Linked DNA regions of Saccharomyces cerevisiae S288C. Changing the gene in region 1 together with any one later gene gives a genetic interaction. Each region holds a gene or a part of one and is shown in the gene's direction. Other genes may lie near its edges. The genes, in order: BNI4, CYK3, SPA2 and FKS1.

Evidence for each region.
Region 2: mutations in BNI4 (region 1) and CYK3 together harm fitness more than expected from each alone (negative genetic interaction), as found in Saccharomyces cerevisiae (4 studies listed by BioGRID, with this or other methods).
Region 3: mutations in BNI4 (region 1) and SPA2 together harm fitness more than expected from each alone (negative genetic interaction), as found in Saccharomyces cerevisiae (5 studies listed by BioGRID, with this or other methods).
Region 4: mutations in BNI4 (region 1) and FKS1 are lethal when combined (synthetic lethality), as found in Saccharomyces cerevisiae (5 studies listed by BioGRID, with this or other methods).

The regions. Positions count from the first base shown.
Region 1 is NC_001146.8:210,048-216,606, forward strand, and holds BNI4 (Bni4p), read left to right. Parts: upstream 1-1,874; coding exon 1,875-4,553; downstream 4,554-6,559. Other genes in the region: YNL234W (uncharacterized protein), read left to right, coding at 186-1,466; exosome non-catalytic core subunit CSL4, read left to right, coding at 4,876-5,754; PDR16 (phosphatidylinositol transporter), read right to left, coding at 5,940-6,559.
Region 2 is NC_001136.10:245,636-252,367, forward strand, and holds CYK3 (Cyk3p), read left to right. Parts: upstream 1-2,945; coding exon 2,946-5,603; downstream 5,604-6,732. Other genes in the region: YFH1 (ferroxidase), read left to right, coding at 288-812; HEM25 (Hem25p), read right to left, coding at 1,054-1,977; NUP84 (Nup84p), read left to right, coding at 5,931-6,732. UniProt on the Saccharomyces cerevisiae protein: Involved in cytokinesis by recruiting INN1 to the bud neck. Cooperates with INN1 to stimulate the synthesis of the primary septum (PS) by CHS2.
Region 3 is NC_001144.5:97,954-106,321, forward strand, and holds SPA2 (Spa2p), read left to right. Parts: upstream 1-2,993; coding exon 2,994-7,394; downstream 7,395-8,368. Other genes in the region: nucleoporin POM33, read right to left, coding at 44-883; HIF1 (Hif1p), read right to left, coding at 1,091-2,248; serine/threonine protein kinase KNS1, read right to left, coding at 7,733-8,368. UniProt on the Saccharomyces cerevisiae protein: Involved in pheromone-induced morphogenesis and efficient mating, perhaps as a cytoskeletal protein.
Region 4 is NC_001144.5:807,460-816,876, forward strand, and holds FKS1 (1,3-beta-D-glucan synthase), read left to right. Parts: upstream 1-2,537; coding exon 2,538-8,168; downstream 8,169-9,417. Other genes in the region: SPO77 (Spo77p), read left to right, coding at 1-1,359; YLR342W-A (uncharacterized protein), read left to right, coding at 8,351-8,524; GAS2 (1,3-beta-glucanosyltransferase), read left to right, coding at 8,635-9,417. UniProt on the Saccharomyces cerevisiae protein: Alternate catalytic subunit of the 1,3-beta-glucan synthase (GS) complex. Synthesizes 1,3-beta-glucan, a major structural component of the yeast cell wall. Involved in cell wall synthesis, maintenance and remodeling.

The DNA.
Region 1 (6,559 bases):
AAAAGGGGCATCGGAAAAACCTCTTCAAAAAAAAAGGTTTTTAGGCTCGAACGAGCCGGAGCAATAATGTTCCTTTGAAAAATAGCAATCGTTATGCAACCATTTTATATGAGTCTGCCCCTCAAGGGACTCGCCACCGGACCGCTGCAGTTGTTTGCATTCATCCACATATAAGCTGGTTGTGTATGACAGGAGAAAAAATACTTCATTCGCAGTTGTTAACCAACAGCGACATGTCTAGCGGGAATGTCCACCATACGAAACCGATGATGTACAACGTAACCCTGCCTTCCTACAACAGCAGTAGTATAGGTCCAGTCGATAATTTGAAAATAAACGAGAGACCTGGCTCTCATGATCATTCCATGAGAAGTGAAATGTCATCCAAAAACTCCGGAAGCGATTTTATGCCACAATCTATTTCACGTTCCGAAGGTAGTGTCTACCAGGTCAAGATAGATCGTGGTGACTCCCCGAATACAGAAGGATTCGACTTTAAAGTTAATGCAAGAGATCTGCTGTTACTTCGAATGTCCTGGGATATCCTCCTCAGGGAGTATTTAACACCTAAAGAATTAAAAGTTTTTCAAGCACTTCTGTATTCCAATAAACATATTACTTCAACAGAAAGACCCTATTTGAATACTGCTCCTGACGGTATGATTTCCAAAACTATTGACCCTACTGCCAGGCCACGTAAAACAAAACAAAGGGACAATGATAACAAGGTTGATACTGCACTATTTTGTTCACAGTTTTATGACAATTTGATTGCAATGGATCCCTTGTTAGAAGAATATTTTCCATCATTAAAACATCAAGCAGTTTCGTTCTGTAAGGTCCTTGATTCTGCTATTGACAACCTTGAAAACGTTCATGTCCTAGATGATTATATTGTGAAATTAGGAAAACGCCATTCCAGAATTCTCGGCATCAAAACCGTTGGTTTCGAAGTAATGGGAAAAGCATTTATGACTACATTGCAGGACAGGTTTGGATCTTTTCTCACACTGGAACTCAAAAATCTATGGGGACAACTTTACTCATATTTGGCAAATTGTATGATTACTGCAGGGAAGGACCCAATGGAAAAGATTCAACCAGATTTTTCGTATAATGGTGACTCTGTGGTTTTAAATTTTTCCATTCCCAAACTTGCGATGCATGATATAAGTACAGTTAACAAGCTACAAATGGTGAAAACTAAAAACGCTACTATACCTCATAATATAACACAAGTACCGACAAATAAAATTCCTACAGAAATACTCTTAGACAATTCTTCTACTCCAATAAAAAGCGACCGTGAATCGACGCCTCCAATCTCACCAAAGGGCTCTGGAAGTACAAAACCAAGCATCGGTAGCAGTACCGTCGTGGAAAGTAATACCAAGAAAAATAATTATGATGAAAAAATCCATTTATTGCAAAAAACTGCTCAGCAGAAGAACTGCTCGATTATGTAACTACAACCGTACCATTAAGTGTATAAGTTTCCCAGGTTATATTATATATTCTTTAGATCACTGCCTGTTCTTTATTACCCGCGAGCTAATCTTTGTCTTATATAGGCGCGTCAGCGGAGACGCGTCAAGTCAACTTCTCTCTTCTATCGTCCCGAGTATGAAAAATCATTTCAGATTCGAAGAAATCAGATTGGCTTTATATCTTCTTTAGAACAAGACGTGTAATATTCTCACACTTAGAGTTGACCCCCTCAAGTTCGCTTATTAGTACAGGTTTTGACTTTGCAAATAAACAACAGGAAAAGCGACTCAAATAAATTGACAAAGAAATCTCAACAACCAGAGTGCAAAAGCCGTACGAGCAGCGTTTTTATTAATAACGATATATCACTACGTATTCAACAGAATATGTCGGATAGTATTTCAGATTCAAAGTCCTCAGAACTTTTAAATTCTACTTTTTATTCGTCGACGTCGATAAATACACTTGATCATGCTAGAACCTTTCGAAATTCTCTGATATTGAAGGAGATATCAGATCAAAGTCTAAATTCATCAATAAAGCCATGCGAATCCGTCCTTGATAGGGATGTTGAAAGCTCAGTTCTGCAGCGGTCGTTTGGAGAAAGTAATGCCCGAGACTCAGAAGTACAAACGGTAAATATGACAACTTCCCCCTCATTAAGTGCATTGGCTGATATTCTGAACGAAAGATCCAAATATGCTGACCAAAAAACTAGAAAGGCACAAAATATTGAGTCTTCCATAATAGAAGAAGAAGAAGAGGCCGAAGAGCAAAACAACTCGATCAATTATCACGAGGATATAACTGGATCCAGGCTGTCTGTACGAGAGGAAGCAAATGAAAACTTGGCGATGACCTCTCCAAACCTTATTGACATTGACGGATCCAATAGTATTCAAGTTGCCCCTTTGAGTTTACCGTCTTTCGAAGAACCTGACTTTTTGTCCACTCCTAGAGTAAAACCTGATTCTCAGGGACCTCGGAGCAAAGTTAGTACACGACGTACTATTCTCGAACGAGACAACAATTTACCAGTTAAGCGGGAGGAAAATACTATCATTAATTCAGAAACTGAAAGCACAACACATAGCGCACCATTTTTAAAAGAGGATCCGAAACCCTCGCCTCCTTCGAGTAAATTATACAACCCAAAAGTTCGTTTAAACAAAGCAGAAGCGCGAAAGTATACTGATTCTTCTGCCCAAAGGACTACTTCAGCAGGCTCGGTACTTGAAGACACTTCTATGCATAAAAAGAAAAAGAGTATATTTTCATTTCTGAAGAAGAAAGAACCGAAACCAGTTATTGGTAATAATAGTGTAACGAATGAAAAAAATAAGATGTCTTCATCGAGCACTTTCTCAATGAATATTCAAACCTCTTTAAAAACGCCTGAAAAACTAAAGAAGAAGTCTCACAGTAGCAGTAGCATTTTCAATTCCTTCCTAAAGGGAAAAATTGAAACATCAGACTCACCTCGAAAGGAACCAATGAGGCAAAAAAAAAGAACCCCAAAATCCAAGGACAAAAAGCAAGATACTGAACAAATAATTGACGCCGCATCAGTGTTATCCACTGAATCACCTCTACTACGAAAAAACCACGACGATACTCCCGTGAAAATAGATCACGTAACGAGATCAATTGATCAGAGAAAACCTACTCCTTTAAACATGGATCTCATATTGGGAGGTGATAAACAGATAAATACCCCGCTACAAGAACACGTAAGAGAAGATGATGATGCCAAAAATGATCTTCAATTACCAACCAAGGATAATTTTTTATCACTGGACTACGAAGCACCCTCACCAGCATTTTCCAAACACGATACAGGTGAGGTTCTTTTCCCAAAATTTTTGGATAATCATGAAGTCGACTCGATCGTTTCTTTAGAAAGAACAAGATCTACAAAGTCTAACAAGAGAAGTTCAATGAACTCGCAAAGAAGGTCATTGACAGATACGCTATCGATCAAAGCGCAAAGTGAGGGAATGTTCATCACTGAGGCATCTTCTGTTGTATTATCTACTCCAGACTTGACGAAGTCTCCTGCTAGCAGCATTTTAAAGAATGGAAGGTTCGAATACTCAGATAATTTCTCCAGAGAACACTCTTACGAAGGTACCACGAATGAGGACTTTTTAGATATCAAGGACGATAGTGGTCCACTAAAAAAAGATGACATATTTTTAGAGTCTATTGAACAAAAATTTGACCAGCTAGTGATGGCCTCTGATGAAGAAAAAACTGAAGTTGAAAGGGATGTACCAAAACCAAGAGAAGAACCTCTGAAGAAGGATTCTGAAAGGCAAAGCGTTTTTGCAGATGATGATAACGAGTTAATTTCTGATATAATGGAGTTTGCAAGTTTTATTAACTTCGGTGATGATGATCTCAATCTAGACCTAGACTTGGGAGATACAACGGCCTCATATGCAACAGAAACCCCTGAACCTGTTGGAAATGATGAAGTAAATCGCTCTGGTACTTTTGATACACGAAATAACAAAGAGGATAGTTACAAAGAAAGAGAAACTCAATCTTATTCCGCTGCTGGAGCTACTACATACGGAGATGAGCGTCAAGGTCAATTACATACATTTGAACAAGACGGAAGTGAAATAAATGACAACGAATTTGAGAATGAAGATTTCAACAAACACATAGAACAGCCCATAGAAGTTACTCCAAGAAATAATGCATATTTACCAGAATTCGAACCCAATAGACCTGTTTCAATGTCCTTTAAAGGACTAAAAGCCCCAAGAATGAATACTTCTTTTATTGACTCCATGACGCCTGATTCTCCCGTAAAATCAGACTTAACAAGTCTAGGTGAGGTGTATGTAAACAGTAATAATGACCAGGGTGTCCGGTTTTCGTCCCAGATAATACTTTACGACACTTATGGAGAATTCGAATATGATAGACATCCAGAAATTTCCACTTGTAACCAGCTTACTCCACAACTGGCTCAAATGATCAAATTGGAATTAAATGAGTTAAAGAGCGCAATGGAAGTACACGATGATTCGCGATGTTACACACATTTTTATTAGAGCAGAAAACTGGGAGAAATGGAAATGAATCAAATCATACATATCAAGACATTCTAGTTTTTATAAACCTATAATTTATCGCAAGAATCTTGGGTGTTATGTGTTGTATTTGCGGCATCATTTCAAAATACCGTCTGCATTACCCGTCTCCGTCACGTGAAGTAAAAATTTCCAAAAAATATTGAAAAAAGAAAGAAAAATAAGATCCAGAATTCACTGATGATGAGCTTATGGTACGGCATGATTAACTACGCATTTGTATATTAAAGATTCTTTGATTTTTTCCAGAGCATTGAATACCTCAATCTATAAGTGTATTATAATGGCATGCAATTTTCAGTTTCCAGAAATAGCTTATCCAGGTAAACTAATATGCCCACAGTACGGTACGGAAAATAAAGATGGCGAAGATATAATTTTCAATTATGTGCCCGGTCCCGGAACTAAACTAATTCAATATGAACACAACGGACGAACTTTAGAAGCTATAACTGCTACACTAGTTGGGACAGTGAGGTGTGAGGAAGAAAAAAAAACTGATCAGGAAGAAGAGCGTGAAGGCACTGATCAATCTACAGAGGAAGAAAAATCAGTAGATGCATCACCTAATGATGTCACAAGAAGAACTGTAAAAAATATTCTGGTTTCAGTGCTTCCTGGGACAGAAAAGGGTCGTAAAACCAACAAATATGCTAATAATGATTTTGCCAATAACCTACCGAAGGAAGGTGATATTGTGCTGACCAGGGTGACAAGGCTTTCGTTGCAACGAGCCAATGTCGAAATTTTAGCTGTGGAAGATAAACCATCTCCAATTGATAGTGGCATCGGCAGTAATGGATCGGGAATAGTCGCTGCTGGTGGCGGTTCTGGAGCAGCTACGTTCTCTGTTTCTCAAGCATCATCAGATTTAGGTGAGACATTCAGAGGTATAATCAGGTCTCAGGATGTACGGTCTACAGACAGAGATCGTGTGAAAGTGATAGAATGTTTCAAGCCGGGAGATATTGTTAGGGCGCAAGTTTTATCATTAGGTGACGGAACCAACTACTATTTGACCACTGCAAGGAATGACCTTGGGGTCGTGTTCGCCAGAGCTGCTAATGGTGCTGGTGGATTGATGTATGCTACAGACTGGCAAATGATGACTTCACCGGTTACAGGCGCTACAGAAAAGCGCAAATGTGCCAAACCTTTTTGATATGTAACAGCTTATCTACAGTGCATATAGACGCGTATATATTTAAAAGAGGGTATTCGCTTCTTCTTCTTTAGATTGCATTCTTTGATGGTTAGGAAAAAGAAGCGGGAACGTGATTAAACTTTTTATTCTCTTTTATTTATTATATATTATAGTGCATTATCATTATCTATCTAAATTTGCCTTTACACGGTACTGCTTTCCGATTTTACTGGGTAAAGAAGTTTTTCATGAGTACCTCTTAAATCAACCTCACTTAAACCTACAATACCACCGAAGCTTTGAAACCTCTTAAAATAATGATCTCTTTTTTCACGCGCGGTTTCCACCAGAGCTGGCCAATAAACATCATGATTGTACTTGAATTTCAGATCACCACCATACAACGAATCTAGTTCGTTCTTAGGGACATATTTAACAAATGGTTCATCAAAAACTAGCTTTTCACGGGTCAGTGGGTCAATAAAAGGGTGAATTAACTTCAAGAAAGTCCATGCTAACCAAGGAATATTCGTCAAAAGTGCTTTTCCTAGTCTTTCTGGATAATGAGTTTGTAGAATATGCAGCACTTCTTTCCCTACACCAATAGGTGGGATTTTACTATTGCCAGGTACTTTAGGAACATCAGGGTAATCTTTAAAGTCTATTAGCAAAGCTAGAGAGTCTTGACCAGCTGGCATAAAATCGATAACTCTTTCCAACATGAAGACCAAGTGCTGTACCTGTCTGTGAGAAGTCTTTGTATTTTGTCTGCCCGGTTTCAAATATAAGATAGGTCTAGCATCGTTTTCGTAACCCAAAATCA
Region 2 (6,732 bases), on another chromosome or scaffold:
CTTTTACTAAACGTAGATCATGGGTGCTTGATTTAGAGATACAACTCATCGCACTTGACAAATTTCAAAAAACCGTATTCAGTGATCATATTTGAAAAGTCACGTTTCTTACAATGTCCACATAGCCCTATAGGATATGAGGGATTAGTAACCGTAAATGATCTCTTTGAATCGCATTTTTAATTGAAAGCAACCTCGCTTGAAGACACTTACAAATCGTTACGTACTACTGAATACCAGAAAGATAGTATTTCAAAAAAAACTAAGCGAGAAGATAGAGTGTAGCAATGATTAAGCGGTCTCTCGCAAGTTTAGTTCGAGTCAGCTCTGTAATGGGCAGAAGATATATGATAGCAGCGGCAGGAGGAGAACGTGCCAGATTTTGTCCAGCTGTAACAAATAAAAAGAATCATACTGTAAATACTTTTCAGAAGAGATTTGTAGAATCCTCGACAGATGGTCAAGTTGTGCCTCAAGAAGTGTTAAACTTACCGCTTGAAAAATACCATGAAGAGGCAGATGACTACCTAGACCATTTACTAGATAGCTTAGAAGAACTGAGTGAGGCTCATCCGGATTGTATACCTGATGTAGAGCTAAGCCATGGCGTAATGACATTGGAAATTCCAGCTTTTGGAACGTATGTAATAAACAAACAGCCTCCAAATAAGCAAATTTGGTTGGCATCACCATTGTCCGGGCCTAACAGATTTGACCTTCTCAATGGGGAGTGGGTTTCGTTAAGAAATGGCACAAAGCTAACAGATATACTTACTGAAGAAGTTGAGAAGGCCATTTCTAAAAGCCAATAAGTGCACTTATCCATCGACTCTCTTATATTTATTTAAACACTTGTAACGCATCCAATCTATTTCATAGTTAGAGTCTCTCTTCCTTGTTATTGATATGATTTTTCTTTTGTACCGTGTGTGTATGTATGTATGTATGAACGTACTACTAAGCTTCAACGTCACTCTATAAAGAAACTAAAAAGACACGTATTTATACCTTTTTTGAAGAATGCGAGATTGCAATGAAATATGTGTCTATTTTTTACATGAATCTTTTGACCAACTCCTCATATATACCCCACGCAATACCTGCACTGAAGGCCTTTCTTGCCAGCCTCATGCTTAACCCGCTAAATAACTTCAGCACATTTTCATTTTTAACTATAGATGTAAATGTATTGAAGGAGTTGGTAAATTTTGATGGTTCCAATTGCATTCTCGTTTTTATGGTGTCGAACGGTGCCGTTACTGTGGTGGCTAAACTGGCGGATAGTACGGCGCTTGTTGTATTTACTGTTGTAGAGGTATAAGTAGTAAATCCTCCCTCAGGATTGTAATGTATAAACCTAGAAGGTAATACCATGGGCAGTAATTGTTTCGATTTTTCATATAGCAGCACATACAAACCTGCATAGGGAGCGTCTCTTAAACAAGTAGCTCCAAACCCTCTGAAAAATCCAAAAAGTCCTTCCTTAGTATATATATGGGTAATTGCCTCCTTTAAACTGGAGTAATTGTACAGAGTAGACTCATAACGGACTTTAATGACGGTGATAGGCATGGTTATATAACCTACCAAACCTCTTGCAAATGCACCTGTTAGTAAATTTTCATACATCGTTAATCGTGGTAAGCTACTGCTCTTGTTATATACAATGTTTGAATCGTTTGTTAATGAAGGCACAGCATTCCTCCTCTTTGCCAAAGATGAGCGCATAAGGTTCAAACATGATAAATATAAGGCGCTGCCTATTGATGTTCGTAATGCTGAAGGTAATGTACCTCTCCATAGCTGTAGAGGGCTGTCTATCTCTTTCAAATTTTTCCATAATGTAGCTTTCTTGTCTTGCTGGATTCTCGTCTTCAAAAGGTCTAAAGGTTGCAACGCAACAGCAGATGTTAGCCCACCGAAAAAGCCCCCGATCAAATGCGATGAATTTCTTGGCTTAGTTGCTTGCTCAGTCATGTATGCTGCTTCACAAATTGTGTACCTTCTAGTTGTTCCCGCTGTGCTATTTGCTTTTCTTTTGGTATAAGCTTATCCTTTTACTTCAATCACCCCCTCGTGAGAATTTAATGTGGAAGCAATATACTACTACACCGTTGACTTGGAGATTTTCAAGCTCAATTTTGCGTTCACTCAAATCTAAGTCATTTGAAACAAACACAACTTCTAAATATAGCAAGAGAAATAGGTCAATAACGCAGACACATATTTAACATTTAAGATACTGATAGATATTCAAAAGGAAACAGTCACCACAAGCGTTGGAGATTCAGCAAAACCCAAAAAGCAAGAAATTACAAAATCATTGTCTCGCTGATGAAACACCATCCTTTAGTGTTTGTATCCATTCAGCGTACCCTCTTGTTCTTGAGACTGGTGAATTTCGTAACTAGTTGAATATTGCAGGGTTTTCTTTTTCTAAATATGTATTAATGGTGGTGCCTGTCAGGGCGCGATAGAAGTGAAAAATTCTCGAATGGCTGGTTTGGTGGCCATTGAGCTGATCTGAAAAGGATGGTGAGATCAAGCTTGATATCTTGCATGCTTGGACCAACTATTTAAAATAAGTATTGAAAAAGGAGAATTTAGTTTCATTTACTCTCTACAATTGGATATTATACAGTTAAAACAAGAGAAAAGGCCAAAATTAACGGGACTCTGTTTGCATAACATATCTATAATATCAGTTTGATCTACTGCTGTTAAACTAATTTTTCTTTCTTCTGATTTCACTTCGTCCTTAATATTTTAACACATTAACTGTTTGCTATAAGCATACATTGCTTTTACCACTTTTTTTAATAATATCTTTTTATCCGTATTAATTACCGCATATAATTTTAGTTCGAAACATTAAAGGTCAGTCCCGAAGTTATAATTATAACATTTAATTCCTGAATTTACCGTATTACATTTAAATTTGCATAATGGCCACTAACTTAACATCTTTGAAGCCACCATTTAAGGTGAAGGCCAGGTATGGTTGGTCGGGCCAAACTAAAGGCGACTTAGGCTTTCTGGAGGGAGATATTATGGAAGTCACAAGGATTGCCGGTTCTTGGTTCTACGGCAAGTTATTGAGAAACAAAAAATGTTCTGGGTATTTTCCTCATAACTTCGTCATACTATTAGAGGAGAGATTAAATTCGAGCACTGAAAATGGTAGGCAACCTTCAAAAATAGTAGAAAGTTTTGAAAAATCAAATAAAGTTGTTATTCCACCAGTACCATCAAGGTATTCTGACGAGAGGCCAAGGCCTAAAAAGAAGCTATCTTCATCAATGCCCAATTCACCCAAGAAGCCGGTAGATTCTTTGACAAAGGCTAGAAAGGCAAAATCAAAAGAAATGGTAAATGAAAAAAATATCTATAATACCCAATCCTCTCGACATCATAATAACTCAGCTCCAAATTTACCTTTGGCTAGCCATAGTAAGCCTCAAGTACGAAATTTCGAGGAGTCCATGAACAATCCGTTACCACCTCTACCGCCACTACCAGATTTGGACAATATGAGAAAGACAGATAAAAGGGCACCAAAGAAATCATATTCTGCAAACGATTTACATATGGCACGTTCTTCAAGAGAATATAACTATTACAAAGACAACCAGAAATTCTATGATGGGTTTATCCCAGAAAAGAGATATTCTTTAGAAGAGGACTCTATTTCATCAGGCCTGTTTTCAAACTCTCAGTACTTAAATGATTCTGCTTGTAGTAGTGAGAACAGTTTTGCCTTAATGAGTGATTTTAGTGCCACGAGCGCGGGAAGTTTCGCCAGACATAAATATGCACAATCGTTTTCCGATTCATTGCAAAGATCACAGAATGCAAATGGCTGCTCTACAAAGATAAATGATTCACAGGAGTTTGGTGATTCCAATGCTAGTTCGAGAAATGGAAAAATGGGTGATATCCTTAGGAAAATAATTATTCCAAAGAGGAATACAAATATTTACTCCAGTTCAGTATCCTCACCAAAGTCACCAAAAGCATATCCTAAACTACCAGATATTCAGAATTTAAACTTGTCTGCAACACCCGATGAAGCTCGCGATTGGATTGCGGTAAAATGTCACTTGAACAGAGCAAGGACTCTTACCAAATATGACAAACATCCGAGGTATATGAGAGCTCTCGAAGAAAATCGCGACTTGATCTTACATCCTCAAGATTCGATTTATAACGGGCTAAATACCAATGAAGTCAAAGGTAATACAAAGCCCGGTTTGGTCGATGTGGAACTGGCCGAATTAAACATAGAATACATTGATAAGATGACTTGGAAACGGTGTATTAGAGACGGAACTATGACATTAGACAGTTGGGCTCAAACAACTTTTTCAGCAAGATACTCAACTGTTCTGGAAAAGTTAAGAGGCATATACATTTTTTGCACAGAGATGTTTGCTCTGACTGATGATAATGGAACGTCAGATTTTTCTGCGGAACCCCAAAATTTAGAGAAAATACTATACAGAAAGCATTGTACGCCATATGAATTGACATGGCTTTTCAAGAAATTAGCAAACTCATTGGGAATCACTTGTGAAATTGTTATAGGTTTCCTGAAAACACCGAGTGCTATAAATTGGGAGTTTAAGTATAACCACTGCTGGTTGAGAATACTGGTTAACAAAGAATGGAGATTTATTGACGTTATTTTAGGAAATGTAACCAACCCAATTCATGAATTTGTAAATAACAGAAAGATCAAGAAAGCAGAAAATAGCTACTTTTTGATGGCACCATTAGAAATGATATACACACATATACCGCCTAGGGAATTTGAGCAGCATATTGTTCCTAGTATCGATCAATTATCTGCATTGTATCTGCCATTAGTTTTTCCATCTTTTTTCAAAAATGAGTTAAAGTTATACAAATTTAGTACTGCACTATCATTTTTGGAAGATTCTGAGATCTACGAATGCTCCTTAGAAATTCCCAATGACGTTGAAGTCTTTGCATCCGTGGTTATTCCAACGGATAATGAAGAAGCTTCATCTGCGTACAGGAATATGGAACTCGCACTGACCCAAATCAAAAAGCAGAAAGCCGAGTCTGGTAGAAGAATTGCTCTAATCAAAGCAGTCCTACCACCCAATGTGAACAAAGGTTCACTGTACATACATTCAGGTGTAAGAGGTACGCAAACGAGTATTGCCAATATCCATCCACTGTCCATGATGGTCCCATTAACACATAAGGGAAGTAACATGAAATACGAATTTGTGATCAAGATACCCTCAGAAAGCATTCAGAAGATTGAGCTATACATTGTCGAGCCACAGAGTAGATATCTATTTGTTGGTAATGAGTACTCATTCGAAGTTATTCAAAGTCCCTCCGATGGTATTGTATACAGCAGTGATGAAGGGCCGAACCAAAATAGGAAACAACCAATGGCAATAAAATCACCCTCAGGAAGAGTTCATGAGCTAGTCAAGAGCGATCCCCACTTTCCTTATGGTACCTGGAAAGGAAGCATTAAAATCAAAGAGCCCGGCGTCTGGAGCGCTTTAGTGATCGCTGACTCTGGTATTGGGTGGTCCGTTTTTGCTGAATGGTTGTGCGTATAAACGTTTTTCACAAATTTTTTTACAGCGCTATAATCTGTATCATTCAACATACATTCTACTCAGGAAGGTGAATTTCATAACTCATATATGGCTATATAGTACTTATTATTTAATGATTTATCCATTGCATTCATAAAAGCTATGCTGGTCCAACTTTTTCGTATTTAGTGATGTTTTCGGTGAAGAAAATATGAAAAATTAGACCAAATGCTCAAATACATACGACATTTGAATTGTTTAGGCAAGTCCGAAAACGAGGTATATCAGCTAATTCAACCTGAAAACCAATTGAGTGCTACTTCGAAGTAAAATACATAGCCATTTCAAATGGAATTATCCCCTACTTATCAAACAGAACGCTTCACAAAGTTCTCAGACACTTTAAAGGAATTCAAAATTGAACAAAATAATGAGCAAAACCCCATTGACCCGTTTAACATCATAAGAGAGTTTCGCTCAGCCGCGGGGCAGCTTGCGTTAGATTTGGCTAATTCTGGAGATGAAAGTAACGTCATATCTTCTAAGGATTGGGAACTGGAAGCTAGATTTTGGCATTTAGTAGAACTGTTACTGGTTTTCAGGAACGCTGATCTTGATCTAGATGAAATGGAACTTCATCCTTATAACTCGAGGGGTTTATTTGAAAAGAAATTAATGCAAGACAACAAACAACTTTATCAAATATGGATAGTGATGGTTTGGCTCAAAGAAAATACATATGTGATGGAAAGACCCAAAAATGTACCAACTTCAAAATGGTTAAATAGTATTACTTCTGGAGGATTGAAAAGCTGTGACTTGGATTTTCCTTTACGAGAAAACACTAATGTCCTCGATGTTAAAGATAAAGAAGAAGATCATATTTTCTTCAAATACATTTACGAACTAATTTTGGCCGGTGCGATTGATGAAGCATTAGAAGAAGCTAAACTTTCCGACAATATTTCAATTTGTATGATCCTGTGTGGGATACAAGAGTACTTAAACCCTGTCATTGATACGCAAATTGCAAACGAATTCAATACCCAGCAAGGTATCAAGAAGCACTCTTTGTGGAGAAGAACAGTTTACAGCCTTTCGCAGCAGGCCGGTTTGGACCCTTATGAAAGGGCGATATACAGCTATTTGA
Region 3 (8,368 bases), on another chromosome or scaffold:
AGTAATTAGAAGGTATTGAACTTGTAAAAAGTAATAATAAAACTCAATTCTGCTTCTTGGTCACTTGTGGGGCACCGCTTAAGCGGTACTCAGACAAGCGGATCAAGCTCATTTTAATTGCATTATAAGCTCTTTTGACGAATGGTGGGATAGATGGGTGGCTTATGATCCCGTCCATTCTAACTCTCCATTGAGCAAAGGCGGCTTTCATGTACTTGGAGTTTTCGTATCTTAACTTAATAAAGATGGCGTACACAACAAGTATGATCCAAGACCTTTGGAAGCACAGAATGGCTCTGAAAAGGACCAAAATGAAAATAAGCAGCTCAGCAGTACCGACCCAGTGCATGCACAAGTCATTGTACTGAACAACAAACTTGTCGATGAAGCTGAGGATCTTACTTGAATCTTTACTGGAAAGGTGGAAGACTTTTGGTAAGAGAACTTTTTCAACGTAGATTAAAACATGGAATACAGCAAACGCGAAAAATGGGATTAAGCTGAATGAAAATCTTGGAGTGAACAACCAGAAGTTGGCCAAAACCAAATAAAGCACGTCTTCACTCTTTAGGAGTCCAGCAACGCGTGATTTTATGGAAGCCTTAGTGGCAGCGGCATCTTGAGTCTGCAATGGTTCATTGCGGGTGAAAAATTGCTGGTAAATGATGATACCGAAAGATTCGATGACACCGAGATATGCCGATCTGTAATAAAATTCTGACATCTTGAGCAGGTAAAGAATGGAGCTGATCAATACGACGGAATGACCGGTAAACCATGCAAACTGCAAGCTCTTGGCTACTGCCATGAACCTTTGCACGAGCGACTTATCTCTGGCAGGGAGGTTTGGGGGGCCTTGGTTATTAGCGGGTCTTGATGACATTATACTGACTATTCTTGGCTAGTGTTTCTTGCTCCTTATGAATAGAGAAAAATGACTTTTTTTAGATGTAGTAAGTATGTCATTTCAGGGATGGTCTGCTTGCTCTTTAAATATTTTTTCACCCTTTTAAAATGGGGCCCTTTCGCCGTACCAAAGAAGGAGAAATATACATTACGTATGTAGGTTGCTACATTTTACACAAAACTATCAATGCCTTCTAGGCTTCTTCTTGACCAGTTGAGAGAGATCATTGAAGTCACCAAGGGGCTTTTCGAGGGCGGGGAAGCCGATGGAGGTCGTGGGCTGCGAAAGAGGCCTCTTGGAGCCGTGCTGCTGATTTTCTTGCACCTCATCAATATCGTCTTGAATCTGTGCGAGCCTTGCCTGCTGTAACTCGCTGTCCTTGGGTCTTGTAGTCATGTGTTTTTCAAGCAGAGCCTTGGCATGCTTGAATCTTTTTAGTTTGTCCTTAGCCGGCACCTGATCAACCCACCTTAAAGCATCACACACCAAAAATTCTGCTTGTATCACCTTCTCAGTTACTTGTTCTGCGGGTTTCAAGGTCTTGTAATAGCCAAGCGCCTTCAAGTAATGATGAATGGCTCTACTGAACATCTCCGCCTCCCTTTCGATGTCACCCATCAGGATATACACATCACCGATGCGCAATCTGCTGTTCTCGGTTAGAGATTGGCCATCTGCTGTAGGGCGGCCCAACAGCATCAAGGCCTGCGCCAGTAGGTCCAAAGCATTCTCATACAGATCATTTTCAAAGTAAATGTGGAAACCAGACTTGCGAAGTTGCGATACGTCTTCAATTTCATCGTCATGTTCATTCGCTGGACTGAAGTTAGCCAATTCGTGCAAAGCTAAGCGTTCTTCCTCTTTCTCCACGTTTTCTTCCTCTTCTTCGCTACCTTCGCCACTGTCCTCACTATCACCACTGTCGACATCACCAGTCAAGTCTTCCTCTTCTTGGTCGAATTGGAACATCCTAGAATTAGGAATTTCTGTTTGACCGTTCTCGTTCCCCTCTTCTCCATTGCTCACATCAGACTCAGGCTCAGACTCAGACTCAGACCCAGATCCATCGTCACCTGCCAGAAGAGCGTCCCCAAACAGATTACCAGAATTCTGTACTTCCATGTTGTATACAGCTTGTGCGAATATAGTAAACAGTTCAGGATCAGGCAACAAACCATCTTTTGGGAGAGAGTCCAAAGTTTGTTGGCAGCGTTTAGCAGCTTCTAAGAACTTTTTCTGTGCGAGTAAATCTTTTGCAATTTGAACCTGTCTTTCCATATCAATTTGAACTTTATGTCTGCTAGTTCCGTTTGCCAACACGTCTTCTGCCCTTAGTTTCATATTCTGTTACTTCTAGAAGGAGACCTCATCGCCGATGTTACCTCAAAATTGAGTAGAATGAAATAATACAAAATTGGAAAAAACGCGAAACTTCAGTGCAGTAACATATCGTTCCGACATTCTCTGAGAAGTGGTAAGATTCCACTGCCGGGGAGCTACGAGTGCTCTTGCAAGTTTTTAGACACTGCTATATCCTTCGACTACGTAACCCCATTTTTTTATTTTTCTATATAAAAACATGCACTGTATACATATAATCACGTAAGTTCAAGTCGTGCTTAAAACGGGCACAGAAAACTAACTATGAGTTGCCGTACCATACATAAACTAGGAGAAGGTAGCGCAGTTCTTTTTTTTTACCAAAGGTTTGCACAAAAAAGATGGTCTAACGTAAGTAAGTTATCAATAAAACTGTTAAAAGTAGTATAAGAATCTTGAGATAGGCTTATTATTATGACTTTTTATGGCGGAAAAGGAAGAAGAAATACTGCGCCGGGTGATGCGTGACGCGTTTTTGGAAACGATGAGAATAAACTTTGAAGTATTTTGAGAATAATATTCTATTATCGAGTTCTTTCAGCAGAAAGCAACACATAGCTACGTATAGTTCGGTAAGATAAATTTGGTCAGAAGCGTGTGAAAGACGCTGAGAAACCACGTGAGACGAAGATTCAAATCAAGGCGTGAGGAATAACGCAATACGAGCCACCGAAACAGAATAAACAAAAGAAAAGAAAGAGTAAACATGGGTACGTCAAGCGAGGTTTCTCTCGCACATCATAGAGATATCTTCCATTACTACGTCTCACTGAAGACTTTTTTCGAGGTGACTGGCGAAAATCGTGACAGGTCAAATTCGACACGAGCTCAAAAGGCCAGAGCCAAGCTGTTGAAGCTATCTTCTTCGCAATTTTACGAGCTGAGTACAGACGTGTCCGATGAGCTGCAGAGGAGAATCGGTGAAGATGCTAACCAACCAGATTACCTTTTGCCGAAGGCAAATTTCCACATGAAAAGGAACCAGGCTAGACAGAAACTGGCCAATCTATCACAAACTCGATTTAATGATTTGTTGGACGATATCCTTTTTGAGATCAAGAGAAGAGGGTTCGACAAGGATTTGGATGCTCCACGGCCCCCATTACCGCAGCCGATGAAACAAGAGGTCAGCAAAGACAGCGATGATACTGCAAGAACATCCACAAATTCTTCCTCTGTGACTCAAGTAGCTCCAAACGTCTCCGTACAACCTTCTTTGGTCATTCCTAAGATGGCATCTATCGATTGGTCTTCTGAGGAAGAAGAAGAGGAGCAAGTAAAGGAGAAGCCAAATGAACCGGAGGGAAAACAAACAAGCATGGATGAAAAGAAAGAGGCTAAACCTGCTCTAAACCCCATAGTTACAGATTCTGATCTGCCTGACTCCCAAGTGCTCGCTCGTGATATCACATCAATGGCAAGGACTCCAACAACGACGCATAAAAATTACTGGGACGTTAATGATTCTCCAATTATCAAGGTAGATAAAGATATCGATAACGAAAAGGGTCCCGAACAGTTGAAGAGCCCTGAAGTACAACGGGCTGAGAACAATAACCCTAACTCAGAGATGGAAGACAAGGTTAAAGAACTGACTGATTTAAACAGCGACTTACATTTGCAAATTGAAGATTTGAATGCTAAGTTAGCATCTTTAACCAGCGAGAAGGAAAAGGAGAAGAAGGAAGAGAAGGAGGAAAAAGAAAAGGAAAAGAACTTAAAGATTAACTACACCATTGATGAAAGTTTTCAGAAAGAATTGCTGTCATTAAACTCTCAAATCGGTGAATTATCAATTGAGAATGAAAATTTGAAGCAGAAAATTTCAGAATTCGAACTGCATCAAAAAAAGAATGACAACCATAATGATTTGAAAATCACTGACGGTTTTATTAGCAAGTACTCTTCTGCCGATGGGCTCATTCCAGCTCAATACATCTTAAACGCTAACAACTTGATAATTCAATTTACTACTAGGCTTTCCGCAGTACCCATAGGCGACTCCACGGCAATTTCCCATCAAATTGGCGAAGAGTTATTTCAAATATTATCCCAGTTATCGAACCTAATCTCCCAGCTATTACTATCGGCCGACCTATTACAGTACAAAGATCAGGTCATTTTACTGAAGGCATCATTATCGCATGCGATCACATCGATAAGATATTTCTCTGTTTACGGTCCCGTATTAATTCCGAAAATAACTGTGCAAGCTGCTGTTTCAGAGGTTTGTTTTGCCATGTGTAATCTAATTGATTCAGCGAAAATAAAATCCGATTCAAATGGTGAGAGCACCACCTCTAATGAAGGTAACCGACAGGTATTAGAATATTCTTCACCAACTGCTACCACCCCAATGACGCCAACTTTCCCCTCGACTTCTGGAATAAATATGAAGAAGGGGTTTATAAACCCAAGAAAACCAGCATCTTTCTTGAATGATGTGGAGGAAGAAGAATCTCCAGTCAAGCCATTGAAAATTACACAAAAGGCAATTAACAGTCCGATCATAAGACCGTCATCGTCTAATGGAGTTCCAACAACCTCAAGAAAACCTTCAGGAACGGGGCTATTTAGTTTAATGATTGATTCATCAATTGCTAAGAATAGCTCCCATAAAGAGGATAATGATAAATATGTCTCGCCCATAAAGGCAGTAACATCGGCCTCCAATTCTGCAAGTAGCAATATTTCCGAAATTCCTAAACTAACACTACCTCCACAAGCCAAAATCGGTACTGTTATTCCACCGTCAGAGAATCAAGTTCCCAATATTAAAATCGAGAATACAGAAGAGGATAATAAAAGGAGTGACATAACAAATGAAATCTCTGTTAAACCAACTTCTAGCATTGCTGATAAACTGAAACAATTTGAGCAAAGTTCCGAAAAGAAATCATCACCAAAGGAAAATCCTATAGCAAAAGAAGAAATGGATTCAAAACCAAAACTATCCAATAAATTTATCACTTCAATGAATGATGTGTCCACAGATGATTCAAGCTCTGATGGTAACGAAAATGACGATGCAGACGATGATGATGATTTTACCTATATGGCATTGAAACAAACAATGAAGAGAGAAGGTTCAAAAATTGAAAAAAATAATGACAGCAAACTACCTGCAAATATAGTGGAACTTGATTTACATGAGTCACCGGAGTCCGTGAAGATTGAATCTCCTGAATCGATAAAGGAAATCACGTCATCTGAAATGTCTTCAGAAATGCCAAGTAGTTCGCTGCCTAAGAGATTAGTAGAGGATGTTGAGCCTTCAGAAATGCCAGAGAAGGGCGCATCTGTAGAATCAGTCAGGAAGAAAAATTTTCAAGAACCACTTGGTAATGTCGAATCTCCGGATATGACGCAGAAGGTCAAGTCTTTGGGTATGACAGGAAAGGCTGTAGGCCCAGAATCAGATAGTAGGGTCGAATCTCCGGGCATGACAGGACAGATTAAATCTTTGAATATGGCAGGAAAAGTTGTAGGCCCAGAAGCAGATAGTAGGGTCGAATCTCCGGGCATGAAAGAGCAGATTAAGTCTTTGGGTATGACAGGAAAAATTACAGCTCAAGAATCAATCAAGTCCCCGGAAGCGGCTAGGAAGTTGGCGTCATCAGGAGAAGTTGACAAAATTGAATCTCCAAGAATGGTAAGGGAAAGCGAGTCCTTGGAGGCAGTAGGCAATACTATCCCCTCAAACATGACAGTGAAAATGGAATCCCCAAATTTAAAGGGAAATACTGTGTCTGAACCTCAAGAAATAAGGAGAGACATTGCCTCCTCAGAGCCGATAGAGAATGTTGACCCCCCAAAAGTACTAAAAAAGATTGTCTTTCCAAAGGCTGTTAATAGAACTGGATCACCAAAATCAGTCGAAAAGACTCCATCTTCAGCTACACTGAAAAAGAGCGGGCTCCCAGAACCGAATAGCCAAATTGTTTCTCCTGAATTGGCAAAAAATTCACCTCTAGCACCGATAAAGAAAAATGTCGAGTTACGAGAAACTAATAAACCACATACTGAGACTATCACTTCTGTGGAACCAACAAACAAGGATGCCAATACTTCTTGGAGAGACGCCGACTTAAACCGTACGATCAAACGAGAGGAGGAGGACGAAGATTTTGATAGAGTGAACCACAATATCCAGATCACTGGTGCATATACGAAAACTGGAAAAATTGATTATCATAAAATACCTGTTGATCGTAAAGCAAAAAGCGAAGCAGAAGTGCATACTTCCGAGGAAGATATTGATGAATCAAATAATGTTAATGGAAAAAGAGCTGATGCCCAAATACACATCACTGAAAGAAAGCATGCTTTCGTAAATCCAACTGAAAATTCACAGGTAAAAAAGACGAGCCACTCACCATTTTTAAACAGTAAACCGGTTCAATACGAGAACTCAGAGTCGAACGGCGGCATTAACAACCACATAAAGATAAAAAATACTGGAGAAACTACGGCACATGACGAGAAACATTATAGTGATGATGATGATTCTAGCTATCAATTTGTTCCCATGAAACATGAAGAACAAGAACAAGAACAAAACAGAAGTGAGGAAGAGGAAAGTGAAGATGACGATGAAGAGGAAGAAGACAGTGATTTTGATGTGGATACATTTGACATTGAAAATCCGGATAATACACTATCAGAGTTACTATTGTATTTAGAACATCAAACAATGGACGTCATATCCACGATTCAATCGCTTTTGACATCGATCAAGAAACCACAGGTGACGAAGGGTAATTTGAGGGGAGAATCGAATGCAATCAACCAAGTCATAGGTCAAATGGTGGACGCTACTAGCATATCAATGGAGCAAAGCAGAAATGCCAATTTGAAGAAACACGGTGATTGGGTGGTGCAAAGTCTAAGAGACTGTTCGCGTAGAATGACAATTTTGTGCCAATTAACTGGCGATGGAATACTAGCGAAGGAAAAGAGCGATCAAGATTATGCTGACAAAAACTTCAAACAGCGGTTGGCAGGGATTGCGTTTGATGTTGCCAAATGTACAAAGGAGCTGGTAAAAACTGTAGAAGAGGCAAGTTTGAAGGACGAAATAAATTATTTGAATTCGAAGTTGAAGTAAAGTTAGTAGTATCTAGAGGAGAAAGAAAAGGAAGACAAAGACAATCAATAGAATGTATTATGTATGACATATAATAATAATAATTATAATAATAATAATAATAGTAGTAGCAGTAATAATAATATTATTATAGTATATTAAAACAACAAAAAATTAGTAAAAATACTATAAATGTTTGAATATGAAGATATATATGTAGGAAGAATTTTTATTGAATATAGAAATTTAAAGAAATATTATTAAAAACCGGAAAATGAAAAAGAAGAGTTAAAAAAAAAAAAAACGGAACTAGTAAAAGATGTGAAAAAAAGAAGAGAAAAGTAGAACGAGAACACCCACTATCCTTGGGTATTATTATAAGTTGCAATACCATCATCCAGTATGCCCAGATTAAACCATTCATGGTCCAGAGCGTCCTTTGCGGTAATCCTTTTTGTTGGGTCGAACTCAAACATTTTCCTGAGTAGATCGATGAACCAGTACCAAAACAAGAAAGTTTCCTTATCGAGTTCATCAGTAGTTGAGGAAGAAGAGGAATGTGTTTGTCTTTTCCATGCCAATTTCGAATTTATCAAAGACCAGTTTTTCTCCGGCGGTAGATTCCAATTGATGCTTAAGCTATCGCCGTAATCCTGTTTCAAGACCTTTGAGATGTAAATATCTAAGCGATCACATGACTGCAAGACCCTTTTCATTGACTTTTCGGTGGTTATGGTATCTCCGCGTTTATTTTTTTCAGGCCATTGTAAGCTTAAAGTTTTTCTGTCGAAATGCTTTATCACCGTTGAATTTAGGTCTGATGGAGAGTTGCCCAATTTATGTTTAGATTTGTAAAACATCTTATCAATAATGTCTGTGGGGAAAGGGGTTCCATTGATTCGTTGCATCATAGCCATATGTTCTAGATTTTCATGAATGGGGTAAAGAGATTCGCCAATAACCAGTTCTACTAGGACACACGCGATGGACCAAAT
Region 4 (9,417 bases), on another chromosome or scaffold:
GTAAAAGATAATGTACCTTCAAAAAAAAAGAGTAGTATAGGTTTTTTTCCATTAGATGATTCTTTATTCACATCAAAAAACAATTCAGGGCACCATAAAAGCGAACAGCTCCATCGCGGTAATGCAGAAACTATCAGAAGCCAGTTTGGAACTGACGCAGTTCCGATAAGGATCGATGAGAAAGAAGGAAAGTGGGATAGAATTCAAGATGATAATTCTTCTAATTTAAACTACCAAATTAACAACAGTAATGACCCAGCTTCGAGTGGTAAATATACCCAGAGTATTGACTGTAACCATATAGCGGAGTCAAAATTTTCAAAAAAAAATGGAAACATTGATAGTCTTCGTTCAAACTCAGCAACTTTTATGCTAAATACTGCAGATGAAGACGTGATAGAATTTAGTTTTGACGATAATGTCCCTTATGCTGAGTTATTATCTGGTGCCACCCTTGAAAAATGTTCGTTGACTCTAAATGAAATAAACAAAAAACTATTCAATACGCTCTATGACTTTCGAGTAAGCAAAGATAATCCCGAAGAAAATTTGGTAGAACTAATACTTCCGAACTGCGTGGTGTTATTAAACTTTTTTGAAGACATTGAACTCTTGGCCGACTCTTCTGATGAGGCTTTCGAAAAATCTACTTTCATTAACACAATTGAGTTCATTGTGCACGATATTTGGGTCGAAACGTTGATAAAGAACATAAACTTATTACAAATGTTTGATGCAGATTTGAAATGCTACAATGACAAGTACATAATTTGCAAGCTAAAGGGTCAGTATCCCTCCACAAATATAGTGGACATAATGTGCCGTTTGAAGCATTTTTCCAATTCTATTTTGGAAACTTTCAAATTCGGAATCGAGCTAAAAGAACAAGATCAATGCCACAATAGAAACACTATTATCAACTACGTTCTTTTCAGTAGAGTATTTTCAACGATTGTTTTAGAGATTCAAAAATGCTTTATCTTGATCGTTAAGTTCATGTATTCTGTCAATTTTTTAGAAAAATTTTCCGATGAAGTATTTTTGTCATTTATTGAAATTCTCATAAAAATTGTCTTTGAGCACCAGATTCCGCAGTTATTTTTGGGAATTGATGAAATTATTCAACTCTGGTTAAAGAACAATGAAGGAAAACGGCAACAACTCTTGAGCGCTTGGTGCAACGGAACTGTTCAAGATATGAAGCAAAGCCAACAAAGAGAGTCCTCAAACGCAGAATCTGAATCAATCACTTCAAGTACAGAAGAGGACGAAGAAGGCCTCCAATTCAATAAATGGGATGTGATTGAACCATTTATTGATAATATCAAGGCTTTGAATCAATCAAAATCCCATATGTGACGCAGCGATAAAACCGCGGCATGCAAACATCTACACAATTAGCAAGGGCAATCCATATTTTGTCTTTTCGCGCCCTGGAAAGGCCTAAGTAATGTCGTAAACGCATTCTATCTGTACTTCAACTCTCCTCTGTGCATTGGTTTGTGCAAATCACATTTTACGATACTGCCAGATTTATGCAAAAAGAGAAAACCAAGGGACCAGAACAAAGCAAAATTACGATAAACTTCGAATTCCTTCGTGCTTGACTAAGACAAAGGGATGGACGTAGCGATTTTTAGCGGGCCAAGAACTGGTTCCGAAAAAGCACAGGTACACCGAACCCTCAGCTAAGGAGGGACAGCACCGATGCGGAAGGACAAACTTTCTTTTTGCCTATCACAGTATCTTATCGAGCTAACTATTTTCGACACACATGAAAAAGCAGAAATATTAACGAAAAAGAAAAGAAAGACCATGTCATGTACGGGCAATCAGAATCTGTAACAAGCGCCATTTTTTTTTCTGTATCGGGCCCTCCTTACTGCTCTCCTTCCGTGTAACGCGTTATGAAACTCTAATCCTACTATCGGCGACTCTCTCGAAATTTTTCTTAACGCGTCCTTGTACTGCGTCTAACGCTTTTGCCACTTGGATTTCTATTATAGGAAATAGTCTCACTTACTGGGCGACGAATTTTCGCGTTTTGATGAAGCACAGGAAGAATTTCTTTTTTTTTTGGCTTCTTCTGGTTCCGTTTTTTACGCGCACAAATCTAAAAAAAGAAATAATTATAACCTAGTCTCGAAAATTTTCATCGATCCATTCGTTCCTTTTTTTCGATTTTTTCAGATCAAAATTCTTGTTTCTTTCTTTGTCTTAGTTTATATTAAAAGATATTTTGATTTTACTCCTGAACTATTTATTCTTTCTAAGAAGGCCAGAACACTACAGCTGTTTTAACCGACTACGAAGTTCTCCATTCTCGAACACTAGCCTTCATTTACCAAACAGGAACTAGCGTATATCATTAGTCCTTATTCGAAAAGAGATTGGTAGATATTTATTGTAGTTTGTGAGAAGGAGAAAATACTGTCATTGGACTGATAGTTAGAGGACATTAACCTCTCTTACGTTCGCTCAAAAAAATTAAAATAAGCAAGTAGCTGAAATCAAGTCTTTCATACAACGGTCAGACCATGAACACTGATCAACAACCTTATCAGGGCCAAACGGACTATACCCAGGGACCAGGTAACGGGCAAAGTCAGGAACAAGACTATGACCAATATGGCCAGCCTTTGTATCCTTCACAAGCTGATGGTTACTACGATCCAAATGTCGCTGCTGGTACTGAAGCTGATATGTATGGTCAACAACCACCAAACGAGTCTTACGACCAAGACTACACAAACGGTGAATACTATGGTCAACCGCCAAATATGGCTGCTCAAGACGGTGAAAACTTCTCGGATTTTAGCAGTTACGGCCCTCCTGGAACACCTGGATATGATAGCTATGGTGGTCAGTATACCGCTTCTCAAATGAGTTATGGAGAACCAAATTCGTCGGGTACCTCGACTCCAATTTACGGTAATTATGACCCAAATGCTATCGCTATGGCTTTGCCAAATGAACCTTATCCCGCTTGGACTGCTGACTCTCAATCTCCCGTTTCGATCGAGCAAATCGAAGATATCTTTATTGATTTGACCAACAGACTCGGGTTCCAAAGAGACTCCATGAGAAATATGTTTGATCATTTTATGGTTCTCTTGGACTCTAGGTCCTCGAGAATGTCTCCTGATCAAGCTTTACTATCTTTACATGCCGACTACATTGGTGGCGATACTGCTAACTATAAAAAATGGTATTTTGCTGCTCAGTTAGATATGGATGATGAAATTGGTTTTAGAAATATGAGTCTTGGAAAACTCTCAAGGAAGGCAAGAAAAGCTAAGAAGAAAAACAAGAAAGCAATGGAAGAGGCCAATCCCGAAGACACTGAAGAAACTTTAAACAAAATTGAAGGCGACAACTCCCTAGAGGCTGCTGATTTTAGATGGAAGGCCAAGATGAACCAGTTGTCTCCCCTGGAAAGAGTTCGTCATATCGCCTTATATCTGTTATGTTGGGGTGAAGCTAATCAAGTCAGATTCACTGCTGAATGTTTATGTTTTATCTACAAGTGTGCTCTTGACTACTTGGATTCCCCTCTTTGCCAACAACGCCAAGAACCTATGCCAGAAGGTGATTTCTTGAATAGAGTCATTACGCCAATTTATCATTTCATCAGAAATCAAGTTTATGAAATTGTTGATGGTCGTTTTGTCAAGCGTGAAAGAGATCATAACAAAATTGTCGGTTATGATGATTTAAACCAATTGTTCTGGTATCCAGAAGGTATTGCAAAGATTGTTCTTGAAGATGGAACAAAATTGATAGAACTCCCATTGGAAGAACGTTATTTAAGATTAGGCGATGTCGTCTGGGATGATGTATTCTTCAAAACATATAAAGAGACCCGTACTTGGTTACATTTGGTCACCAACTTCAACCGTATTTGGGTTATGCATATCTCCATTTTTTGGATGTACTTTGCATATAATTCACCAACATTTTACACTCATAACTATCAACAATTGGTCGACAACCAACCTTTGGCTGCTTACAAGTGGGCATCTTGCGCATTAGGTGGTACTGTCGCAAGTTTGATTCAAATTGTCGCTACTTTGTGTGAATGGTCATTCGTTCCAAGAAAATGGGCTGGTGCTCAACATCTATCTCGTAGATTCTGGTTTTTATGCATCATCTTTGGTATTAATTTGGGTCCTATTATTTTTGTTTTTGCTTACGACAAAGATACAGTCTACTCCACTGCTGCACACGTTGTTGCTGCTGTTATGTTCTTTGTTGCGGTTGCTACCATCATATTCTTCTCCATTATGCCATTGGGGGGGTTGTTTACGTCATATATGAAAAAATCTACAAGGCGTTATGTTGCATCTCAAACATTCACTGCTGCATTTGCCCCTCTACATGGGTTAGATAGATGGATGTCCTATTTAGTTTGGGTTACTGTTTTTGCTGCCAAATATTCAGAATCGTACTACTTTTTAGTTTTATCTTTGAGAGATCCAATTAGAATTTTGTCCACCACTGCAATGAGGTGTACAGGTGAATACTGGTGGGGTGCGGTACTTTGTAAAGTGCAACCCAAGATTGTCTTAGGTTTGGTTATCGCTACCGACTTCATTCTTTTCTTCTTGGATACCTACTTATGGTACATTATTGTGAATACCATTTTCTCTGTTGGGAAATCTTTCTATTTAGGTATTTCTATCTTAACACCATGGAGAAATATCTTCACAAGATTGCCAAAAAGAATATACTCCAAGATTTTGGCTACTACTGATATGGAAATTAAATACAAACCAAAGGTTTTGATTTCTCAAGTATGGAATGCCATCATTATTTCAATGTACAGAGAACATCTCTTAGCCATCGACCATGTACAAAAATTACTATATCATCAAGTTCCATCTGAAATCGAAGGTAAAAGAACTTTGAGAGCTCCTACCTTCTTTGTTTCTCAAGATGACAATAATTTTGAGACTGAATTTTTCCCTAGGGATTCAGAGGCTGAGCGTCGTATTTCTTTCTTTGCTCAATCTTTGTCTACTCCAATTCCCGAACCACTTCCAGTTGATAACATGCCAACGTTCACAGTATTGACTCCTCACTACGCGGAAAGAATTCTGCTGTCATTAAGAGAAATTATTCGTGAAGATGACCAATTTTCTAGAGTTACTCTTTTAGAATATCTAAAACAATTACATCCCGTTGAATGGGAATGTTTTGTTAAGGATACTAAGATTTTGGCTGAAGAAACCGCTGCCTATGAAGGAAATGAAAATGAAGCTGAAAAGGAAGATGCTTTGAAATCTCAAATCGATGATTTGCCATTTTATTGTATTGGTTTTAAATCTGCTGCTCCAGAATATACACTTCGTACGAGAATTTGGGCTTCTTTGAGGTCGCAGACTCTATATCGTACCATTTCAGGGTTCATGAATTATTCAAGAGCTATCAAATTACTGTATCGTGTGGAAAATCCTGAAATTGTTCAAATGTTTGGTGGTAATGCTGAAGGCTTAGAAAGAGAGCTAGAAAAGATGGCAAGAAGAAAGTTTAAATTTTTGGTCTCTATGCAGAGATTGGCTAAATTCAAACCACATGAACTGGAAAATGCTGAGTTTTTGTTGAGAGCTTACCCAGACTTACAAATTGCCTACTTGGATGAAGAGCCACCTTTGACTGAAGGTGAGGAGCCAAGAATCTATTCCGCTTTGATTGATGGACATTGTGAAATTCTAGATAATGGTCGTAGACGTCCCAAGTTTAGAGTTCAATTATCTGGTAACCCAATTCTTGGTGACGGTAAATCTGATAACCAAAACCATGCTTTGATTTTTTACAGAGGTGAATACATTCAATTAATTGATGCCAACCAAGATAACTACTTGGAAGAATGTCTGAAGATTAGATCTGTATTGGCTGAATTTGAGGAATTGAACGTTGAACAAGTTAATCCATATGCTCCCGGTTTAAGGTATGAGGAGCAAACAACTAATCATCCTGTTGCTATTGTTGGTGCCAGAGAATACATTTTCTCTGAAAACTCTGGTGTGCTGGGTGATGTGGCCGCTGGTAAAGAACAAACTTTTGGTACATTATTTGCGCGTACTTTATCTCAAATTGGTGGTAAATTGCATTATGGTCATCCGGATTTCATTAATGCTACGTTTATGACCACTAGAGGTGGTGTTTCCAAAGCACAAAAGGGTTTGCATTTAAACGAAGATATTTATGCTGGTATGAATGCTATGCTTCGTGGTGGTCGTATCAAGCATTGTGAGTATTATCAATGTGGTAAAGGTAGAGATTTGGGTTTCGGTACAATTCTAAATTTCACTACTAAGATTGGTGCTGGTATGGGTGAACAAATGTTATCTCGTGAATATTATTATCTGGGTACCCAATTACCAGTGGACCGTTTCCTAACATTCTATTATGCCCATCCTGGTTTCCATTTGAACAACTTGTTCATTCAATTATCTTTGCAAATGTTTATGTTGACTTTGGTGAATTTATCTTCCTTGGCCCATGAATCTATTATGTGTATTTACGATAGGAACAAACCAAAAACAGATGTTTTGGTTCCAATTGGGTGTTACAACTTCCAACCTGCGGTTGATTGGGTGAGACGTTATACATTGTCTATTTTCATTGTTTTCTGGATTGCCTTCGTTCCTATTGTTGTTCAAGAACTAATTGAACGTGGTCTATGGAAAGCCACCCAAAGATTTTTCTGCCACCTATTATCATTATCCCCTATGTTCGAAGTGTTTGCGGGCCAAATCTACTCTTCTGCGTTATTAAGTGATTTAGCAATTGGTGGTGCTCGTTATATATCCACCGGTCGTGGTTTTGCAACTTCTCGTATACCATTTTCAATTTTGTATTCAAGATTTGCAGGATCTGCTATCTACATGGGTGCAAGATCAATGTTAATGTTGCTGTTCGGTACTGTCGCACATTGGCAAGCTCCACTACTGTGGTTTTGGGCCTCTCTATCTTCATTAATTTTTGCGCCTTTCGTTTTCAATCCACATCAGTTTGCTTGGGAAGATTTCTTTTTGGATTACAGGGATTATATCAGATGGTTATCAAGAGGTAATAATCAATATCATAGAAACTCGTGGATTGGTTACGTGAGGATGTCTAGGGCACGTATTACTGGGTTTAAACGTAAACTGGTTGGCGATGAATCTGAGAAAGCTGCTGGTGACGCAAGCAGGGCTCATAGAACCAATTTGATCATGGCTGAAATCATACCCTGTGCAATTTATGCAGCTGGTTGTTTTATTGCCTTCACGTTTATTAATGCTCAAACCGGTGTCAAGACTACTGATGATGATAGGGTGAATTCTGTTTTACGTATCATCATTTGTACCTTGGCGCCAATCGCCGTTAACCTCGGTGTTCTATTCTTCTGTATGGGTATGTCATGCTGCTCTGGTCCCTTATTTGGTATGTGTTGTAAGAAGACAGGTTCTGTAATGGCTGGAATTGCCCACGGTGTTGCTGTTATTGTCCACATTGCCTTTTTCATTGTCATGTGGGTTTTGGAGAGCTTCAACTTTGTTAGAATGTTAATCGGAGTCGTTACTTGTATCCAATGTCAAAGACTCATTTTTCATTGCATGACAGCGTTAATGTTGACTCGTGAATTTAAAAACGATCATGCCAATACAGCCTTCTGGACTGGTAAGTGGTATGGTAAAGGTATGGGTTACATGGCTTGGACCCAGCCAAGTAGAGAATTAACCGCCAAGGTAATTGAGCTTTCAGAATTTGCAGCTGATTTTGTTCTAGGTCATGTGATTTTAATCTGTCAACTGCCACTCATTATAATCCCAAAAATAGATAAATTCCACTCGATTATGCTATTCTGGCTAAAGCCCTCTCGTCAAATTCGTCCCCCAATTTACTCTCTGAAGCAAACTCGTTTGCGTAAGCGTATGGTCAAGAAGTACTGCTCTTTGTACTTTTTAGTATTGGCTATTTTTGCAGGATGCATTATTGGTCCTGCTGTAGCCTCTGCTAAGATCCACAAACACATTGGAGATTCATTGGATGGCGTTGTTCACAATCTATTCCAACCAATAAATACAACCAATAATGACACTGGTTCCCAAATGTCAACTTATCAAAGTCACTACTATACTCATACGCCATCATTAAAGACCTGGTCAACTATAAAATAATACAATCAATACTTGCTTGAACGCTTGATTTTACTGATATTCTATCCAAAAGCAAGTAGACCAGAAACTCTCAAGATGTTGCAAATACCGTTCGATGTTTTTGGTTTAGATTGTTTTAATGTTGATGCTTTTTTACTTATTTTTGGAAGCGTCTTTTTAATTTAGTTTTATATTATAGGTATATGAATGTGTTTATGCCAATAAGGGTTTTTTTGTACAGTTATGTGATTATAAACAGTCTTTTGTCTAGTTTTTTTCACCAGTATCGGCCTCTATTTATAAAAAACGGAGCAGCTTTCGGTGTCAGTAATTCTGAAAAAATTTGTGTCACTCTGATTGTAAATGAATTAATTTAGCTAGATAGTTGCGAGCCCCAACGAGAAGATTGTCAGACAAAGACAACATTCAACAACCTACATCCGTTACTATTCGTTAACTCGAGGTACTTGAAACTTTTCAGTTAAGTATGAACAAGAAACAAAATTTTTACGCAGCCATTATTGTGGCTATTTTTCTTTGTTTGCAATTGTCTCATGGCTCTTCAGGTGTCAGCTTTGAAAAAACCCCTGCTATTAAAATTGTAGGAAACAAATTCTTTGACTCTGAGAGTGGGGAACAGTTCTTCATCAAGGGCATTGCTTACCAATTGCAGAGAAGTGAAGAGGAGCTTAGCAATGCAAATGGGGCTTTTGAGACAAGTTATATTGATGCCTTAGCGGACCCAAAAATATGCTTAAGAGATATTCCATTTTTGAAAATGCTAGGAGTGAACACACTGCGTGTTTATGCAATAGATCCGACAAAATCACATGATATATGTATGGAAGCTCTATCTGCCGAAGGAATGTACGTCCTATTAGATCTTTCAGAGCCTGATATTTCAATAAATAGAGAAAATCCATCTTGGGATGTACATATTTTTGAAAGGTACAAATCTGTAATTGATGCAATGTCATCCTTTCCAAATTTGTTGGGGTATTTTGCAGGGAATGAAGTGACAAATGACCATACAAATACCTTTGCATCACCCTTCGTGAAGGCCGCAATCCGAGATGCCAAGGAGTATATTTCGCATTCTAATCATAGAAAAATCCCTGTCGGCTATTCAACTAATGACGATGCTATGACAAGAGACAATTTAGCAAGGTACTTCGTTTGCGGAGACGTTAAAGCTGATTTCTATGGGATAAATATGTACGAATGGTGTGGGTATTCCACGTATGGTACTAGTGGATATAGGGAAAGAACG